Sus scrofa: one gene and its partner. The protein of the gene in region 2 binds, or shares a complex with, the protein of the main gene of each other region. Links are inferred from orthologs where the notes say so. Each region holds a gene or a part of one and is shown on either strand. Other genes may lie near its edges. The genes, in order: HSF2BP and C2H19orf57.

Region 1 (4,330 bases), on a different chromosome or scaffold from region 2:
AGTGGAGGATGGGAACTAGTGCCCAAAATAAAAGAGCAGAAGAAGATGAGCCTCTGTGGGGCATTCTGAAGCCTGAGGACATCCAGGTGGAGGTGCCAGGTGGGAAGGGCATATCTGAGCTGCAAGCAGCAAAGGTCTGGGTTAGAAAGTTCGGTTTAGGAACACACAACATTTATGGAATAAGAGGAAATCAAGTCTGTCAGGAAGACCCTAACAGATTTGAAGTCAGGAAGTCTGGCTTCGTTCCTCTTCCTAGGACTTCCCAGGAGAGTTTATCTTCTTTTTCCCAGAAGCCTTCAAAAGAAGGCTAACTGAGCGATCAGCACAGGGGGAGACATCCATTCTTTAAAACAGACTCAATGTATTAACACTAGCAGCAAATCGGACTTTTCCTCAGTGCAATAAAAAACTTCACCGCACTGTAATCCATGCCTTCAAAGGTTTACACCGGACCGGGTAAATACGATTCCTCAATGGCACCCCGCTGCAGTTAAAACCCAAACTGAAGAGCCCGCTGTGACCTGGCCACTGCCTACTTTCCCAACTCGCGTCCTAACACCCTCCCTCTCTCTCACTTACCGCTCTTCCAGCTCCTCATTCGTGCCCCGGCTCAGATCTGGAGAACATCACCCCGAGAGGCCTCCCTGCAACAGTCTTTGGAGAGGAGCTTCCCCGTTCCTCGGTTTTCATTTCCTTTACTCCACTTACACGAGTTCCGTTTCAGTTATCTATTCCCCCCCCCCCCCGCCAGATTTCCCGGGATAAATTCCTCGGGGGTAGGGATTCGGACTTCTCCGTCCTGGTCAACTGAAGGCGTGACTCAAGGAAGAGCGCACCAGAATCAAACAGGTGAGTGCACTGATCCCACGTGCAAGCTCTGGGAGGGCAGACTGGGACGGTTCTCGGCTTTCCGGCTCACCGGGACCCTCAGCGGACCACCTAACCCCCTCCGCCGCCGCCGCTCAACCGGAGAACCGGTGGAGACCCCGCAGGAAGTGGACACAGAGAAGCACACGGCTGTGCCGCACGCTCTCCCCGCTCCGCCCGCGGCTCCCCGGGCCCGCCCCCCACTCCCGCCAGGACCCCCCCCCCACCGCGGCTCCCTCCCCTCACCCCCGCTCCCCCACCCCGGCCGCCATGTGCGCGGCGGACCGCAGGGAGCCCACCTGTCTCCCTCTGTGTCTTCACGCTGATGTACTGGCGCAGCTTCTTCACCGCCCGGTCTCGGATGCCCTTCTCGTGGGACGCCAGCCGTTGAGCGAACTGGATCTCGGCCGGCTGCATGGCGGGGGCCATCGCGCCCGTTGGAGCATCCCCGGCCGCAGCCCGCCGCCGCCGAGCGCCCGCCGCCGTGCCGCGACTGCGCAGAAGGCGCCGGCGCGCGGGCTGATGACGTCACAAAGGCGCCGCTCGCCGCTCGCAGAGCGTTCCGCGAGCTGCGGGCCGGGCCCCGGCGGAGCGACGCTCCTCCGGTGCGCGTCGCGCCTCTCCGCCGCCGCCGCTGCCTCTCGGTCGCCAAGGCTCGGGCCGTTGAGGGCGAGGTTAGCCAGCGCTGGGTGTAGGCCGGGAAGAGACGGAGGGCCAGTTTTGCGTGGTCTGGAATCTTGCCCACTTCACAAAATCTCCATCCAACCGACCCGCAGCTGTTCCCGGGAGATACACGGCACCGGGTTTTTACGTTGGCCTCCTCGGGCCGCGGTGGGAACGGGGTTCTGGCGGGAGGTTGCGGGCAGCCCGCTGGAGGGGCGCCCGGAGCCGGGGCGAGGACTGGGTGCGTGTGCTGGTGCGTGCACCCGCGGGCCTGGAGAGCGCGTACTCCGGGCACTCGGACAGTGTCGGCTTGTGTCCGGCTTTGGACAGAAGTCCTAGTTGTGCGATAATCGGTACCTTTTTTTTTCTTTGGTGTTTTTGTATTTTTCCAGGGTCGCACCCACGGCATATGGAGGTTCGCCGGCTAGGGGTTTAATGGGAGCTATGGCCGCCGGCCTACACCACAGTCATGGCAACTCGGGGTCGAGCTGCGTCTTGGACCCACACCACAGCTCACGGCCACGCCAGATCCTTAACCCACTGGGCGAGGCCAGGGATCGAACCTGCAACCTCATGGTTCCTAGTCAGATTCGTTAACCACCGAGCCACCACGGGAACTCCCGTAACCGGTACCTTTGAACCCAGAGCTTGCACCATATGTTACGAACTCAGTGGGCATATGGGGGCTAGTGAATGGACCAAACGATGTCTCCCAGTCCATGGGGTCGTCTCAGTTCCTTAACCTGCTGGCCGGACTGAGGCTCCCTTATCTGGGGCAGACACCGCCGCCGCCGCCGGCGGAGCCTGTTGTCAGAAAGCTTCGACCTTCGCGAATGGAGTTTGGAGCTGAGCGCGCGAGAGGGGCCGCCGGCGGCTGCTTCGCGTGAACGCATGGCCCCTTAGTCTAAATAACACCCCTCGCCAAACATCAAGGACCCGAATCGAGTGATTTCACTGGACACTGACACGTGGGTCTCCCTGTTCTTCTTTGCAGTTAACAAGTTACGACCTCGGCCAAAGCCGGACGAGCCCACGCGGGATCTCGCCTCCACACCCCCGGCCCGTGGGGACCGCGATGCAGCGAAAGCTCTACGAGGTCTGAGCCTCGCGGCTCCCCGTACCTGACCCCGGCGTGGACGCGTTCCCGCGCTCGCCGGCGTGAGGGGTCCGCGCGTGCGCGCCCGCGCAGGCGCACGGAGCCGAGACCGCGCCGCCATGGGCGAGGCTGGCGGCGCTGAGGAGCCGCGCCGGGTCAGTGCCGAGGCTCGGGTCGGTGCCGAGGCGCGGGCCGCCGCCCGCGAGTTCGCGCTCTTGCCCTCGGCTCCCCCGCGCTCAGCGGGGTCTGCCTGGGCCTTGCTCGGGGGCTCGGGGAGGCCCCGGACGTCGTCTGCGGGCAGCGTGGCCAGGGCCGGCGGTGGGGGGCGGCGGCTCCGCCTCCGGAAGCGCGGGGGCCGCGGGATGGGCGGGGGCCGTGCCCCGGTGCCCCTGCGCCGCCCCCCGGGGGCCCCCCCCGCACGGCCCTGAGGCAGGCGGGGCAGGCGGGGCGCGGGTCGGGGCGAATCGGCCGCCCCAGCGGGAGCTCCCCTCCGGCCGCGCCCTGGAGCTGCGTTCAGGGAGATCCCAGCCTCCCGGCCCGTCTCCTGGCGGGTTGCGAGTGCGGGGCCGGGTGGTCAGCCCGGGGCTTGGCGCCCAGGGGGAAGGGCCTTTCCTCCTGGGAAGCTTGGTGCTGGCGCCTAGGAGAGCGCTGCCGGCGTGTTCCTTGGCCTTCGGGAATGGGGCCTCGCTCGCCCTGACAAAGTGGCTCGGAGGTCCCGTCGTGGCGCAGCGGAAACCAAGCCGGCTCATCACCGCGAGGTTGCGGTCGGTCCCTGGCCGCGCTCAGTGGGTTAAGGAGCCGGCGTTGTAGGCCGCAGACGCAGCTCGGGTCCTGCGTGGCTGCGGTGTAGACCGGCAGCTGCAGCTCTGACTGGACCCTCGCCTGGGAACCTCCCTGTGCCGCGGGTGTGGCCCTAAAAAGACACACAAAAATCGGCTGGCGATTCGAGGCCGATTCGAGGCCGGGGCTTAAACTCGGGAGGCGGAATTGCGGGGCCGAGGGCTCCTCCGGGGAAGCCGCGCTTTCCCAGCAGCCGGGAGCCCGAGGCTTTCCGGAAGGACGCGGCCGCTGCCCGGCTGGCTGGGCCGTCGGAGGAGCAGCGCGCTGGTGCCAACATGCGCTTGCTCTTTCAGCTCGTGGGGGCGAAGGAAGAGTTTGTCAGGGTGAGGAAGAAGGACCTGGAGCGCCTGACCACCGAGGTGATGCAGATTCGGGACTTCCTGCCCCGGATACTCAACGGGGACGTGCTGGAGAGCTTCCAGAAGCTGAAGATGCTGGAAAAAAGTGAGTCTTCTCCACCTCGAGCCGTCGGTGCCGGGCGGCCGTCTGTCTCCGCAGGTTCGCCTCCTGCGGGTCGCGGCCGCGGTGAGTGAGCCGGGAGCTGCCCTTAGCGTTTTCCCGATGACGCTGGGGAGACAGACACGGACAGAGAAGCCGGCTCGCCTGTGCGCTTGTGCCGAGGAAGGGGCGCCAGCTCTCAGGGCATCTGGCAGCAGCTCTTCTTTCTCCCCTTCCTCGTTGGGCAGGAGGTTTTCGTACTTTTACGACTGAAAAGTTCCAGAAATTAACTCCTTTCTGACGCGATTAGGGATCTTGCTGTGTGGCAGCCCTGCGAGGAGGCAGCCGTGTCTGTGGAAACACTCGTGTCTGGGTTGAGGGCGGGTCCGTTTCTAGCGCTGATTTAAATTTCAAGGACGTGTCCAT
Region 2 (4,395 bases):
CTAGCCAAGTTCAGTCGGGAAAGAAGGGCCCACACCCTGCCCCAAAGCAAAGCCACTCTGCACACCTGGCCTTTTGCTTTCCAGCATCTTCAGCAGAGACAGCCATGCAGGAAGGTTGGAGGCATTGAGAGTAAAGAGAAAACCCAAACAACGCAGAAGTTGAAAGCGGGGCCTTTGCCACATAACATACCTGTCTTCCTATCCTATTCTGGTTAATGACTAATCATGATGTGCTAATATTAGGCTGAACTACACAAAATTACCTTTTCTGTGGGTCAAACATGGCCAAATATGGTCAATTTTATATGGCTCTACCTAAGAGTAATAATGATGATGACAACACTTATTGAGTGCCATGTTCCAGTACATTCCATAAACAATCTCAAGGAATTTTCACAGCTATCCTGTAACATAGGGCCTCTTAAGGCCTCCATTTTACAGATGAGGAAACTGAGGCTTAGAACTGTGAAGTCCAATGTGCAGAAGCCAGGAGGCAACTTCAGGTGAGCCAGACTCTGATATCTGAGCACTAAGTTATGGCTCTAGTTCCTTACAGCAAAGCTCAGAAAAAAATCAAACTCTCCCAAAGGAGATGAAGAGAGGAAGAAAGGGCCCAAGCACAGTCCTGTGGGCTCATGGCAGCGGCTCTGGATTTGCACTTAGTTCTGGCCAAGCAACTTAGCTCTGCCCTGTGACCTTGGGCAGGTGTCTTCTTCTCTCTGGGCCTCAGCGTCCCCATCTGCACAATGGGGATAAAGAGTCTGACCTGGCCCGACTGATGAGAGGGTTCCATCAGTGCTCAGGCCAAGAGGGTAATAACTGCCTTTCTTACTCCAGGTCCGAGGCCTTCCCCTCCCCGACAGTAGCTGCCACGGCAACAGGTGGCCCTAATCCCTGAGCGGGGCATAAGGAGCTGGGGAGACGAAGTAAGTAGGCCCCATTTTGGGGGTTGACGCTAACCTGAGGGGGCGGGGACCGGGGCTCACCTGGGGGTGGAGATCTGACTCCTCTAGGGGGTGGGGCCCTACCTTGGACAAGGGTGGGAAGGGTTCTCTCGGCCCGGCCGTGGAGTACAGACTCACCTGGCGAGCGGTGGCGGCACCTCGGCCTGGAGGTCCCGAAGGTCCCTTCTTCTTGTGCATCTCCCAAGCTGGATACTCGGACCACCGGCCCCCTGGCCTGGCCTTGCCCGGCCTTCTCCCCCGGGGCCTATGGCCGCGCACGCGCCCTTCCTGAGTCCCGCGCCCCTCGTTGGCACCCCGCGACCGCCGACCGCGTACCCTCTGCCCCTCAAGTGGCCGCCCTACTTCCGCCTCGGCCCTTGGGCGCCGCGGCACCTGAGCACAGCAACTGGACTTGCCGGGCCCGCCGCACTGAAACTACAACTCCCGGCAGGAAGTGCGCGAGCGCGCACGCGCTGCCTCAGGGGTAGTGGGAGGTACCACGGGTTGCTCAGGAAAGAGGCGGGCGTACGCGAGTGAGAGGGGCGGTGCTGGCATCGCACATGCGCACGACGGGGCTTCATAGTGCGCGGGAAAGAGGCGGAGCGTTTGCCGGTGTGAGGCTTGGCAGCGGCACCCTGGTTCGTGGCTTTGCGCGGCCACTTGTGAGCTCTAGTCTCTCTTGGCGGTCCTGGTCTGGGCATTTCTTACTTTTTGGTGGCCTGGGTAGGGTTCGTGTGGCCTAGTCACCGGAAGCTGGGTCCAGAGCACTCGGGCCTCGGATCCTCAGCTACTCGACCTCTGTTTGGGCCAACTCTGCCTTTTATTTTCTCAAAAATTTTTTCGCAAATAATTTAACCGAGTTATCCCCAGCAGTTCCAGGTAGACCTCCTCAGTTCCCGATAAGGACAGAAGGACCTTGACTTCTCTGGCCCAGGTCGGTTTTGTCTTCACAGGCCCTCTAGGCTGGAAGGAATTGACCTGTGAAGACTGCTGCCGTTCCAAGGCCCCAGGCATCCCCTGAAGGCCCCCTCTTAAAGGACCCCCAGGTGGCCCCTCTAAAGCACTTAAATGACTCCAAAGTGTACTAGGTGTCACTTCAAAAGACCCGGGTGGAGAGAGGGGGCTTCACACAGGCTACCCCATCTTAGATACTGAAAGGGGACATCCCAGGGCTTCCCATGGCCCCAGCCCCCAACCCGCTATCTGCAGGATGAAGGCATTTTAATTCTTAGCCTGCCACAGCCCAAGGTAGCTATGACTCCCACCCTATGTTCCCCTGCCCAGTTGACCCCTGGGGCAGCCAGATGGGCCCAAGTGGGGGTGGGGTGGCCTCAGCCAAGGCCACTGTGTCTGTACCGAGTTAGGAACTGGTTGTAATGACGAAATCTGCTCCTTTTCAGATTTCTCTAGGGAGGGATAAAATGAGTAAGAGGAAGAAGCTTCGGACCTCAGGTATTTGGATGTTCAAGTTGGCACTTCTTTATTGCTTCTTCTGCTTATAGGAGGAATGTGGGTTTATGGCAGAAATGCTAGCATGACCAGACCAAGCTCCTGAGCAACAATGACCTAATACATGCTACTAAGAAAAATGTAAATTATGGAGAAGTGCTTGCAGTAAAAAGTGAAAGCTTTGTGGAGCTTCCTCCAGCCTCTAGTGGGATCCCACAGCCTTGGGAAGATCCACTAGGCTTCAGGAAAGGGATACAGCCTCTATGCTGCCCACTCTCAGAGATGACCTGTGAGTAGAGCTTGACATGCTTCAAGCTTAGCATCTGGTGCTAAGTGCTTCACTCTCAAAACAAAACCCTGAGTTCATCTCACTGTGTGATGGCAGAAGACTTACTCTGTATCTCACTTTCCTCCTCTGGAAATAGAGGACCTACCCTTTCCTTTAGAACAGGGACTCTCAAGCTGTCAAGGGGAGCATTTGGCAATGTCTAGAGGCATTTTTGTTTTTCATAACTGGTGTGTGTGTTTGCCAAGGGGCTGTGGCCATTTAGTGGATCTAGGCCAGGGATGCTGCTCAAAAATCATACAATGCGTAGGACAGCCCCCACAACACAGAATGACCTATCCCCAAATGTCAGTAGTACTCTAAATGGCAACAGTGCCACAGTTGAGAACTATGCCCTAGAGCTCACATGTGGATTAATATTTGTAAACTACTGAGAATAGACCCATGATAGTACACAAATATATCTTCTGTTATGATTGTCCTTTCAGATTAAAAAAAAGCTTTGTTTTGAAACAATTTTGAGCTTACAGAAAAAGTGCAGAAATAGTTCAGCATTCTGTCTACCCCTCCCCCAGCTTCCCCTAATATTAATGTCCCCCACAACCACAGGACAATGATCAACCATATAGTACAACATAAAAAAGATAGGAAATGAACTTCAGTATACTACTTCCAAACTTTCTCTTTGTATATACAAGTAGAGTGTTGTTATTGGAAAGTAGAATCATCACACGTGCAGATCCGCATCCTCTGTTTTTCACTTCATAGCATTTTGAGGCCATCTTGTCAATATACATACAGAATTTCCTTGTTCAGAAAGAAAGACACCCAGAATTACATTAGGATAGCTCCATTGCCCTGTCACTGCCTTAGGTAATTTAAATTTCATAAAAATTTAGAAATAACCCCTTCACTTAGTGGTTAATGAGCTTTGGGTGTAGAGCTTTTATTTCCCCAAGATATGGGACAAGAAAGAAATCATTAACAGATTGAAGATGTTTAGTGCAGTGATGAGCAGCAGGCTGCCTGGAGGTACAGGGATTTCTCTGACCTTGGAGAGGGAAGCTGGGGACAGCCTGGCCCACCCACAGCAGGTCATCTTGGCAGTGCGCTCCCTAGTTCAATGTGCTCTGGGCTGGCCCAGGACAGCTCTTTCTCTGTGTCCTGGATGGGGTGGGGAGAAAAGAAGATGATTCTGGCAGGTAGTGAAAGAAGCCCTTTCCATCCTGATGTCTTTGGCCTTTGGTGTCGAACACAAGGTTCTGCTTTAGTGTTTCTTCAATTAATTCTGTGGGGACAGATCATAGGAAGGAAATGGGAGCCTCTTCACGTCTGTTGATATTCTTGCTTTTTATTTGGTACGAACGTCCATTGGATGAGTGAAGCAAGCTAATGTTTGGGCATCTTAAGAAACTAAATAAATGAAGGGACTGAATTTTTGCATTTTCTGGCAGACCACAAGGTAGGACCGTGTTTGTGTAAGAAACATTGGTTGGAGCCTTGCTCTGGTTGGGCCCCTGAGGTGGGGATGGGAGGCAGGGCGACAATGAGATCAAAGGGTGCAGCAGACTCAGTTCCTGTCCTCAACACCTTCATGGTCTTGTCAGGAGAAAAAGAAAAATGCTTCTCACTGAGAGCTAATCAAATATGCAACAGTGAGGCAAAATTCTAAATGGGCATACACAAACACTAACAGATAGAATTAGGAGAAATTAT

What was found.
Region 1: the proteins of C2H19orf57 (region 2) and HSF2BP are in contact, whole or in part, in a crystal structure (PDB 7Z8Z), measured with the Mus musculus proteins. The link is inferred for Sus scrofa from reciprocal best matches to the Homo sapiens genes BRME1 and HSF2BP. Residues at the interface, in NP_083321.2 of Mus musculus: Met541, Gln542, Asp543, Ala544, Thr545, Val548, Arg549, Leu551, Val552, Leu555, Ser556, Asn559, Ile562, Met563, Thr565, His566, Leu569, Lys573; in NP_083178.1 of Mus musculus: Glu23, Phe24, Val25, Lys26, Val27, Arg28, Asp31, Leu32, Arg34, Leu35, Glu38, Val39, Gln41, Ile42, Phe45, Leu46, Arg48, Ile49, Glu53, Leu54.

What each region holds. Positions count from the first base shown.
Region 1 is NC_010455.5:206,626,215-206,630,544, reverse strand, and holds the start of HSF2BP (heat shock factor 2-binding protein), read left to right. Parts: upstream 1-1,401; 5' UTR 1,402-1,541; intron 1,542-2,524; 5' UTR 2,525-2,745; coding exon 2,746-2,781; intron 2,782-3,759; coding exon 3,760-3,910; intron 3,911-4,330. Other genes in the region: RRP1B (ribosomal RNA processing protein 1 homolog B), read right to left, coding at 1,167-1,296. UniProt on the Homo sapiens protein: Meiotic recombination factor component of recombination bridges involved in meiotic double-strand break repair.
Region 2 is NC_010444.4:65,251,098-65,255,492, forward strand, and holds the start of C2H19orf57 (uncharacterized protein C19orf57 homolog), read left to right. Parts: upstream 1-1,426; 5' UTR 1,427-1,504; coding exon 1,505-1,606; exon of another isoform or gene 1,607-1,878; intron 1,879-2,344; coding exon 2,345-2,396; intron 2,397-4,395. Other genes in the region: CC2D1A (coiled-coil and C2 domain-containing protein 1A), read right to left, coding at 1,083-1,142. UniProt on the Homo sapiens protein: Meiotic recombination factor component of recombination bridges involved in meiotic double-strand break repair.